Linked DNA regions of Neurospora crassa OR74A. The protein of the gene in region 2 interacts with the protein of the main gene of each other region in a pairwise test. Links are inferred from orthologs where the notes say so. Each region holds a gene or a part of one and is shown on either strand. Other genes may lie near its edges.

Region 1 (3,837 bases), on a different chromosome or scaffold from region 2:
CGCTTCCTGTCCGATGCGACCCGCCAGGCCATCGACAAGGCCGTCGCCTCCGCGCCCGTCGTCCTCTTCATGAAGGGCACCCCCGAAACCCCCCAGTGCGGCTTCTCGCGCGCCAGCATCCAGGTTCTGGGTCTGCAGGGCGTTGATCCCAACAAGTTTGCTGCTTTTAACGTTTTGGAGGATGCCGAGTTGAGGCAGGGTATGTTACACAACCAGTTGGGACAAGAAAAATGGGAAAAGTAGACAAGGACAGAAATGCTGACACAAGTGGGCGTGCACCGCGCATCATCATGCATATATAGGCATCAAGGAGTACAGCGACTGGCCCACCATTCCTCAGCTTTACATCGACAAGGAGTTCGTCGGCGGTTGCGATATCATTGTCTCGATGCACCAGAACGGCGAGCTTGCCAAGCTTCTCGAAGAGAAGGATGTTTTGGTCAAGGGCGAGGAGGGTGCTGCTGAGGAGCAGACCGAGAAGAAGGAGTAAAAGAAATGAAGCGGCGGATGCGGATGCAGCTTTTGGCTATGCGTGGAGGAAATGAGTGATTCATGAAGCCATTGTACTTGTACTGATACCATTTGATAGACGATTGGGATCGCATGCCTAGACTGTACGATATGTGTTTACTCTTTGCAATACTGAAAAGCGACGTGGAAGTGCTTCTCTGGAAATTCATCAGGACATTGGGAAACCAGATAACAGCAGATGATGACATGTAAAGTACATGTGAGACAGATTCCCTCAAAAGTATCTCGACCTATACCCGTCTATGATGTGTTGAAAACGCCATGTTAAATGCCGCCTGGGTATCATGTTAAAGCTCCCTTTTCCTCATGCACACAAAGAAAACAGAAAAACACAAAACAAAACAAACCCCTCAGCCATGTTGAACTCTCTCTTCTCCTCCCCCCTCCTTTCAGTTACTGTCCCCATCTCAGTTGCAGCTAGGCCCATCCGTAGCCTGTTGATTCGTCTTCGCCTCCAACCCATAACCGCCCAAGCCCGGGCTGTTATAACTCAACCCCTCCGGTCCCCTCCTGTGCTGGCTTCTCGGCCCTCTCTCCTTCAAATCATCCCTCAACCACCTCAACACCAGCTCTCCCAGCCTACTATTTCCCGTCACGCCTTCAATCACATTCTTCCCATCCTCGACCTCCTTCAACATCTCCTCCGCCTTCCCCCACCCCTTCACAGTGCCCAAGTGCATGTGCACCAGGTGCGTCGGCCAACTGGCCAAGTTGTCCAGGATGTGCGTCGCGTACACAACCGTGCACTCTCTCGTCTCCGTCTCCCGTCTCAGCCACCCTAGAAACTGCGCCCGGGACCAGACATCCAAGTCGACGGTGATTTCGTCCAGCAACAGCACCGTCCAGGGCCGGATCAAGCCCATTGCCAGCTGCACCCTGCGGCGTTCTCCGTCCGACACGGCGTGCATTCGCCAGTTGGTGTCGATATCCAGCACCGACACCAATTCATCCCTTCTCTCGGGATAAGCATCGCCGCCCACTGACCGCAGCAGCTCAACGACACCAATGTCCGTGCGCACAATCGCGTTGAGGACCCATTCCAACCCCAAGTAGGTGACGCCCTCCAGACCTTCCTTGAACGGGTCAACGCCCGACACTTTGATGGTGTTGGCGGGCGCGAGACGCTTGCCGGCCAACAGGCGAAGCAAGGTGGTTTTGCCGGCACCGTTGGCGCCAATCAGGAGCGTGCGTGAGCGAGGCGGGAGGGAGAGGGTAATGTCCGAGACGCCGTTGGAGCGGTCGGGAAAGCTGTAGGTGAGGTTGAAGGTTTCCACTGTTGGGGGGGCTGGTTGGGAGGCCATTGTTTTTTTTTTTTTTTTTCTTGTGTGCGTGTGGCTGATGGTTCGATGAACGGGTTGGGTTGTTGGTGGAAGGTTTGTTATGTTGGCTCTCTCGAGTGAGAGATATGGTTTCTGGTTGGCTCTTTCCACTGTGTTTACCCTTAAGTTCGTGTTGTTGACAATGTGAAGGGATGTACTATGGTGTTGGTGGGAAGGGAAAAAAAAAAAATCGAACTTGATTTGGGGAGTGAGGGGGAAAATGGATGGAATGAGGGGGTGATAGCGGCAAGCGGCAAGCGGCAAATGTTGGGTGATGCGAAAAACGGAACAGTTCCCACTTGCACCTGACAGTTTAGAGAGCTCGGCGATGTTGGGCCAGAAGGTCTGTCGTTTCAATCCGCCCTCCCCCCTGGAAAGTTTTGCGGGGCGGTACCTGATGACGCAAGTACGCAACAAGGGCCGTTTTGAGTCCACATGGCGATTCAATTCTTCAACTCCAATAATGTGCGAAGAGAGAGAAAGCAGAACGTTCCCGATCAAAACACCTCTCCACCTTGGTGTCTTAGATAGGCCTATGTCTTGCGTCCGAAAACCGGGAATAGTTCCAAACACTTTTCCTCATCATGTCTCACTATTACCTACTACCGGAACAAACATCGTTCAACTTCGGCATCTGTTGCAAGGAATCCATGCAAGGAACCAGGTGGTCGGTGATTCAAATTCACTAAATATACAAACCGGAAAAATGTGAAACCACCAACACCTTCCTAAAACGGAAACCAAAGGTATGGTGTTAGTGCTGACTCACCTCAACTCACCCTCCTTTAACAACACAGAGTGACCGGAAAGAATGTCAAAAGATACAATACGAAGGCTCGGAGGCTTTCGATGGGACGTGACCGAGGGTAGCAGTACTGTACAGCACCCGCTCCAATCCCCGGGATCCACAAATGCAGTTGCTGCATCGATCACCATGGCAACACATGGGGGAAATCGGTTGTTCTGAGACACGAACCCATACTGCGTAAGACGGACAGAAATCCCATTACTGCCATTTGCAAGTATTTTGTTGTCTGTCACTTGGCGGTTTGTAGACATCCTCAACCCCCTTGCTAAGGAAGAAAACAGAGCCGAAGAGACGCAGGAATACGGTTTGGCGATACAGGATGTATATTGACCCATCGACTACACCAGAATTACTGCCATGCAAGTGAAGGATGTAAAGATGAATGTATCAACAACCCGAAATCCCTTTCGTTGATTTGTATCATTTGATTCTTTGCTCCCCTGATTCACCAATCGGGGCGGCCCATGGTAGAAGTTTAAGTTGGTGATCAGTCACCCAACTCGAATAAATCACCCATCCTACCGTTCCAACCAACCGCCCCCTATCTAACCTAACCGCCGCCGCAGCCACTATCCTCAGGTTCCACGTTCCAGAACCGGTTTCTCTCTCTCCATTCTTCCCTTTTAAACCCCGAATGATGTAAAACGATAATTGGTATCCCTTGAACAGAACAGAAAACAAAGCCCCAGCCAGTTGCGTAATAAGCAAGAAAGAAGTGAAGTAGAATGAAAAAAAAAGGAATATGCCGTGCCGCAAGAGGAACATATGATGAGAAAGAAAAGAAAAAAGCTCTTTCCCTTTCGTCGTCTCTCTTCCTTTTATGCTTGGCCACCAACCAATGCTGTGCAAAAAAAAAAAAAAAAAAAAAAAAAAAAAAAAAAAAAAAAAAAAAAAAAAAAAAAAAAAAAAGACATATGATCAAATGCTGAATGACGCTCGTAATCCATCTGTCCACCACAACCGAGGGGAAAAAAAAAGAGTTCAGACAATAATAATAAGACACGAACAAGAAAATAATGGTATCTCTTCTCCCCCTTTCCTCTGCTCTTCCCCTCATCTTGAGCCGAGTGTTTGGCTTTGCGCACTCTTAATGGTCGTTTTGCTCGCCTCTTTACCTCCTCTTCACCTCTCTTCACTTCCCGACCCAGGCCTTTTCATCGCCTCACTAAGATCCCGCAA
Region 2 (3,916 bases):
CAAGAGAGGCATAGTGGGGTCGTAGGCGACATCATAACCCAATGGCTGGGCTGATAGCAAGTTCCCCTAGACACAGGTTGGAAAGATGTTGTATGCAGAACACATTCTCAGTAGGGAGGCACGCTGCCTGGTCCCGTTGCAGGCAACTAGAGGTAGTAGATAGGTATATAAAAGGCGGCAATGCAGTTTCCGTGCAATGGAACGGAACGGACGCCGAATGGTTGAGCCAAACCAACTACGATATGCAAGATCACGATATGTTGGAGTGGGAAGTGTCCATTCGCGGGCGGGCGAAAAGAAGACAAACGTGATGCTACTTTGGATGATTGGAGAGCCAGACTTACTCGTGTGGCTTTTGCGGCCGTTCGTCGTACCACTACTTCCTTGAGAGGGACAAATACAACACAAGAGACGCACGAAAATCAGACATGAATCGCGTAGCAGGAAGGGAAAGTGTGAGCCATAACCACATATTATTAACTTCGGTGGCTTCTTTGGTGTACCACAAAAAGACATGCCCAAAAAAGACTGTGTCTTTCTCTATTCCGTAGTCTAATTGTTCCCAGGCCTCGGTTGACGGGCCTTTGGGTATAGCCTTCCTCTCTTTATCGTCTTCTTGCACTTCATCAGGTGCAGCAACCAGCTACTTACGTTTCGAAAACACACCCGTCTCAAATGCCTCGAGGGTGTGTCATGGGATATCATGTGCCAAAGCCAACGCCGTACTTTTGTTGAAAATTTGTACCCGAACCATCCCTAATATACCGTTTTGAAAAACCCCTAGTGAAAGACCCCCATATTGAACCCGGTTTTGTCATGCAAATCATGCCTGTTGAAAACGATGCTTTGTGGAAATCCCAAACATGCCGCTGAGAGATGTTTTGTCCATAACCCAAAGTGTTGAAGGAGATCCTCAGTAAATTACCTCCCCTATCCTAGCCAAATACGACAGGAGAGGGTGGATATATGGTATTGAAAGGGAAATTAGTAGCGGTAGCTGTGACTTGGTTAGCATATCATTCATCAGGCACCAGAAAGGACAGGAAGTAACATACTGGTCGCTCTTGTAGGGACCCTCAGTGGCGAGGCCGAGGTACTCAGCCTGGACGTCAGAGAGCTGGGTAAGCTCGACGTTGCAGTGGTCGAGGTGGAGACGAGCAACCTCCTCGTCGAGGATCTTGGGAAGGACGTAGACCTTCTTCTCGAGCTTGCCGGACTTGCCGAACTCGACGTACTTGTTGGAGAAAGCCTCGTCGTTGGCCTTGTAAAGCATGATCTGAGCAAGGACCTGGTTGGTGAAAGAGCAGGACATGACGAAAGAGGAGTGGCCAGTGGCGCAGCCAAGGTTGACAAGACGACCCTCAGCAAGGAGGATGATGTGGCGGCCGTTCTTCATGAGGAAACGGTCAACCTGGGGCTTGATGTTCTGGACGGAAGCAGCGTTGGCCTTGAGCCACGCGACGTCGATCTCGACATCGAAGTGACCAATGTTGCAGACAATGGCGTCGTTGGGCATGACCTCGAAGTGCTTGCCGACGAGAATGTCACGGCAGCCGGTGGTGGTGACGAAGATCTGACCAAGAGGAGCAGCCTTCTCCATGGTGGTGACCTGGTAGCCGGCCATGGCAGCCTGGAGGGCGTTGATGGGGTCGACCTCAGTGACAATGACGCGGGCACCCATGCCGGAGAGGGCCATGGCGCAGCCCTTGCCGACATCACCGAAACCGGCGACGACAGCGATCTTGCCAGCAATCATGACATCGGTGGCGCGCTTGATACCGTCGACGAGGGACTCACGGCAGCCGTAGAGGTTGTCGAACTTGGACTTGGTGACGGAGTCGTTGACGTTGATGGCGGGGACAAGGAGCTTGCCCTCCTTGAGCATGCGGTAAAGGTGGTGGACACCGGTGGTGGTCTCCTCAGAGACACCGAAGCAGTCCTCGAGCATCTCGGGGTACTTGGTGTGGACGAGGTGGGTAAGGTCACCACCGTCGTCGAGGATGAGGTTGAGCTTCTTGTTGTCCTTGAAGGCAATGAGCTGCTGCTCCAAGCACCACTGGTACTCCTCCTCGGTCTCACCCTTCCAGGCGAAGACGGGGACACCGGCAGCGGCGATGGCAGCGGCGGCGTGGTCCTGGGTGGAGAAGATGTTGCAGGAAGACCAGGTGACCTCGGCACCGAGAGCAGTGAGGGTCTCGATGAGGACGGCAGTCTGGATGGTCATGTGAAGGCAGCCAGCAATGCGGGCGCCCTTGAGGGGCTGGTCAGCGGCATACTTCTTGCGAGTAGCCATAAGACCGGGCATCTCGTTCTCAGCGAGCTCGATCTCCTTGCGGCCGAAGGCGGCGAGGGAAAGGTCGGCGACCTTGAACTTGTGGGCGGGGGCAGACATGTTGGGTGGATATGGGGATATCTGTGAATGGAGAGTACAGGTTAGAATTGGTGATGTTTTGGAGGGAGGAGAGAGAGCAGGAGCACTCACGATGAGGGGGATGGATGGACAAAAAGTGAGAATACTCTTCCTGGCAAGGGGACAGCAATGGATTTATTTAAAAGGAAGGGACTGAGGGGATGGGGTGAAAAGTGGATATCGGATGGCACACGGCAGAAAAGAGGACACGGCCCTGGGGGAGCAGGGGAAGCGAAGGGGAAATCAAAGGGCCCGGAATCCAATGACACAGCTCACAAGCAGAATGTGCAGAGCCTGACTGCCTGACTGACTGAGAGTGGCAGCCGGCGGCGGAGAGGAACAGCAGGGCAGACACGGGTCTGACGGGCAAGCAAAACGAAGCCAAAACTGCTTCGTGCAGGAAGTGGGGAAGGGTCGACGGGGTTTACACTACACTAGGGAAAAAAAAAATGAGAACCCCGCGGGCAAATCTGTCGAACCAGCAGCTCTGTCGGTGTGCATCAGACAAGCAGGCTAGTCCTAATTCAGCTTTATTCCCCACCACAATGCGAGTGCTTGCCCCTCCTTTGCCTGCCAGCCGTTGTCGTCGACGCGGCAAATGGCAATGTGCTTTCTGCCGCCAATTCGACACCACGTTGTTCTCTTTCAGCTTGCCTTTTTAGCGCTGATGCCGTCGGCCTAAATAGTGGGGTTTTGCGGGCGGATGGGCAAGGACGGACATTCATTCACTTTTCGTTTCGGCCGAACTGGACGTTTCCAAGACATCGGGTGAGGTTGGGGAGTTCAACAATTGTTATCGGTTATCGTCGTATCTGGACCCGAATGAGGTTTGGTGCCCATGAAAGCCAACCTCAACGGAAGCAGTAAAGCGCCTGGTCAGCGTCTGCAGCAGCAAACGGGGGGGAAGCGCGGACATGGCGTTGAGATGTCCAGCTAGAGTGCTAGACACATCCCCGAATTGATGAGACCCATTTTTTAACAATTCAGTTTCGGACTTTCTCCAAACCCTCCCATCCAGGGCCGTGGCATCTCCATATGATTATAGGCAATTCATTACATATACGGAAAGCTGAAAAAAAAGGCTGGCCCCTTAAACATAGTAGAAGATAACGGCTTATCGCTTGATTGACGGGGATCTCATGTCTGATAATTCGTCCAACGCGTCCCTCATCGCCTTTTTGGACGCATCCCTTTTGTTTTCTCTAGTGCCTCAATGCCTCCCCCACGTCAGATCAGCAAGGCCACCACAAGATACTGGATGTGATTGCAGCTCTCCCTCCCGTCCCGCTTTACGTAGGCTGCATGGCCGACCCTGCCCTAGACCTTGCAAGGTAAATAACACGCCGACAACCCGGAACGCCAAAACCAAATGCGGCTGAGATATCGTGGCCACCGTCCTCTATCGTCCCATCAAAAAACACCACCACAACCCCTGGTAGCCCCTTTTACTCGGGGAGAAGGTTGCCGCGAACGGCGAACATCTTGGCCGTGATGTTGGCCGTGAAG

The links.
Region 1: the proteins of cys-18 (region 2) and NCU04097 interact in binary tests that used the Saccharomyces cerevisiae proteins (3 or more experiments, as listed by UniProt). The link is inferred for Neurospora crassa OR74A from reciprocal best matches to the Saccharomyces cerevisiae genes SAH1 and CAF16.

The regions. Positions count from the first base shown.
Region 1 is NC_026505.1:4,815,785-4,819,621, reverse strand, and holds NCU04097 (ABC transporter), read right to left. Parts: upstream 2,136-3,837; 5' UTR 1,833-2,135; coding exon 939-1,832; 3' UTR 566-938; downstream 1-565. Other genes in the region: NCU04098 (monothiol glutaredoxin-5), read left to right, coding at 1-199, 303-490; prk-9 (serine/threonine-protein kinase 3), read right to left, coding at 3,824-3,837.
Region 2 is NC_026504.1:1,317,603-1,321,518, forward strand, and holds cys-18 (adenosylhomocysteinase), read right to left. Parts: upstream 2,839-3,916; 5' UTR 2,483-2,838; exon of another isoform or gene 2,414-2,482; 5' UTR 2,393-2,413; coding exon 1,056-2,392; intron 998-1,055; coding exon 985-997; 3' UTR 442-984; downstream 1-441. Other genes in the region: NCU07929 (eukaryotic translation initiation factor 3 subunit 3), read right to left, coding at 3,856-3,916. UniProt on the Saccharomyces cerevisiae protein: Adenosylhomocysteine is a competitive inhibitor of S-adenosyl-L-methionine-dependent methyl transferase reactions; therefore adenosylhomocysteinase may play a key role in the control of methylations via regulation of the intracellular concentration of adenosylhomocysteine.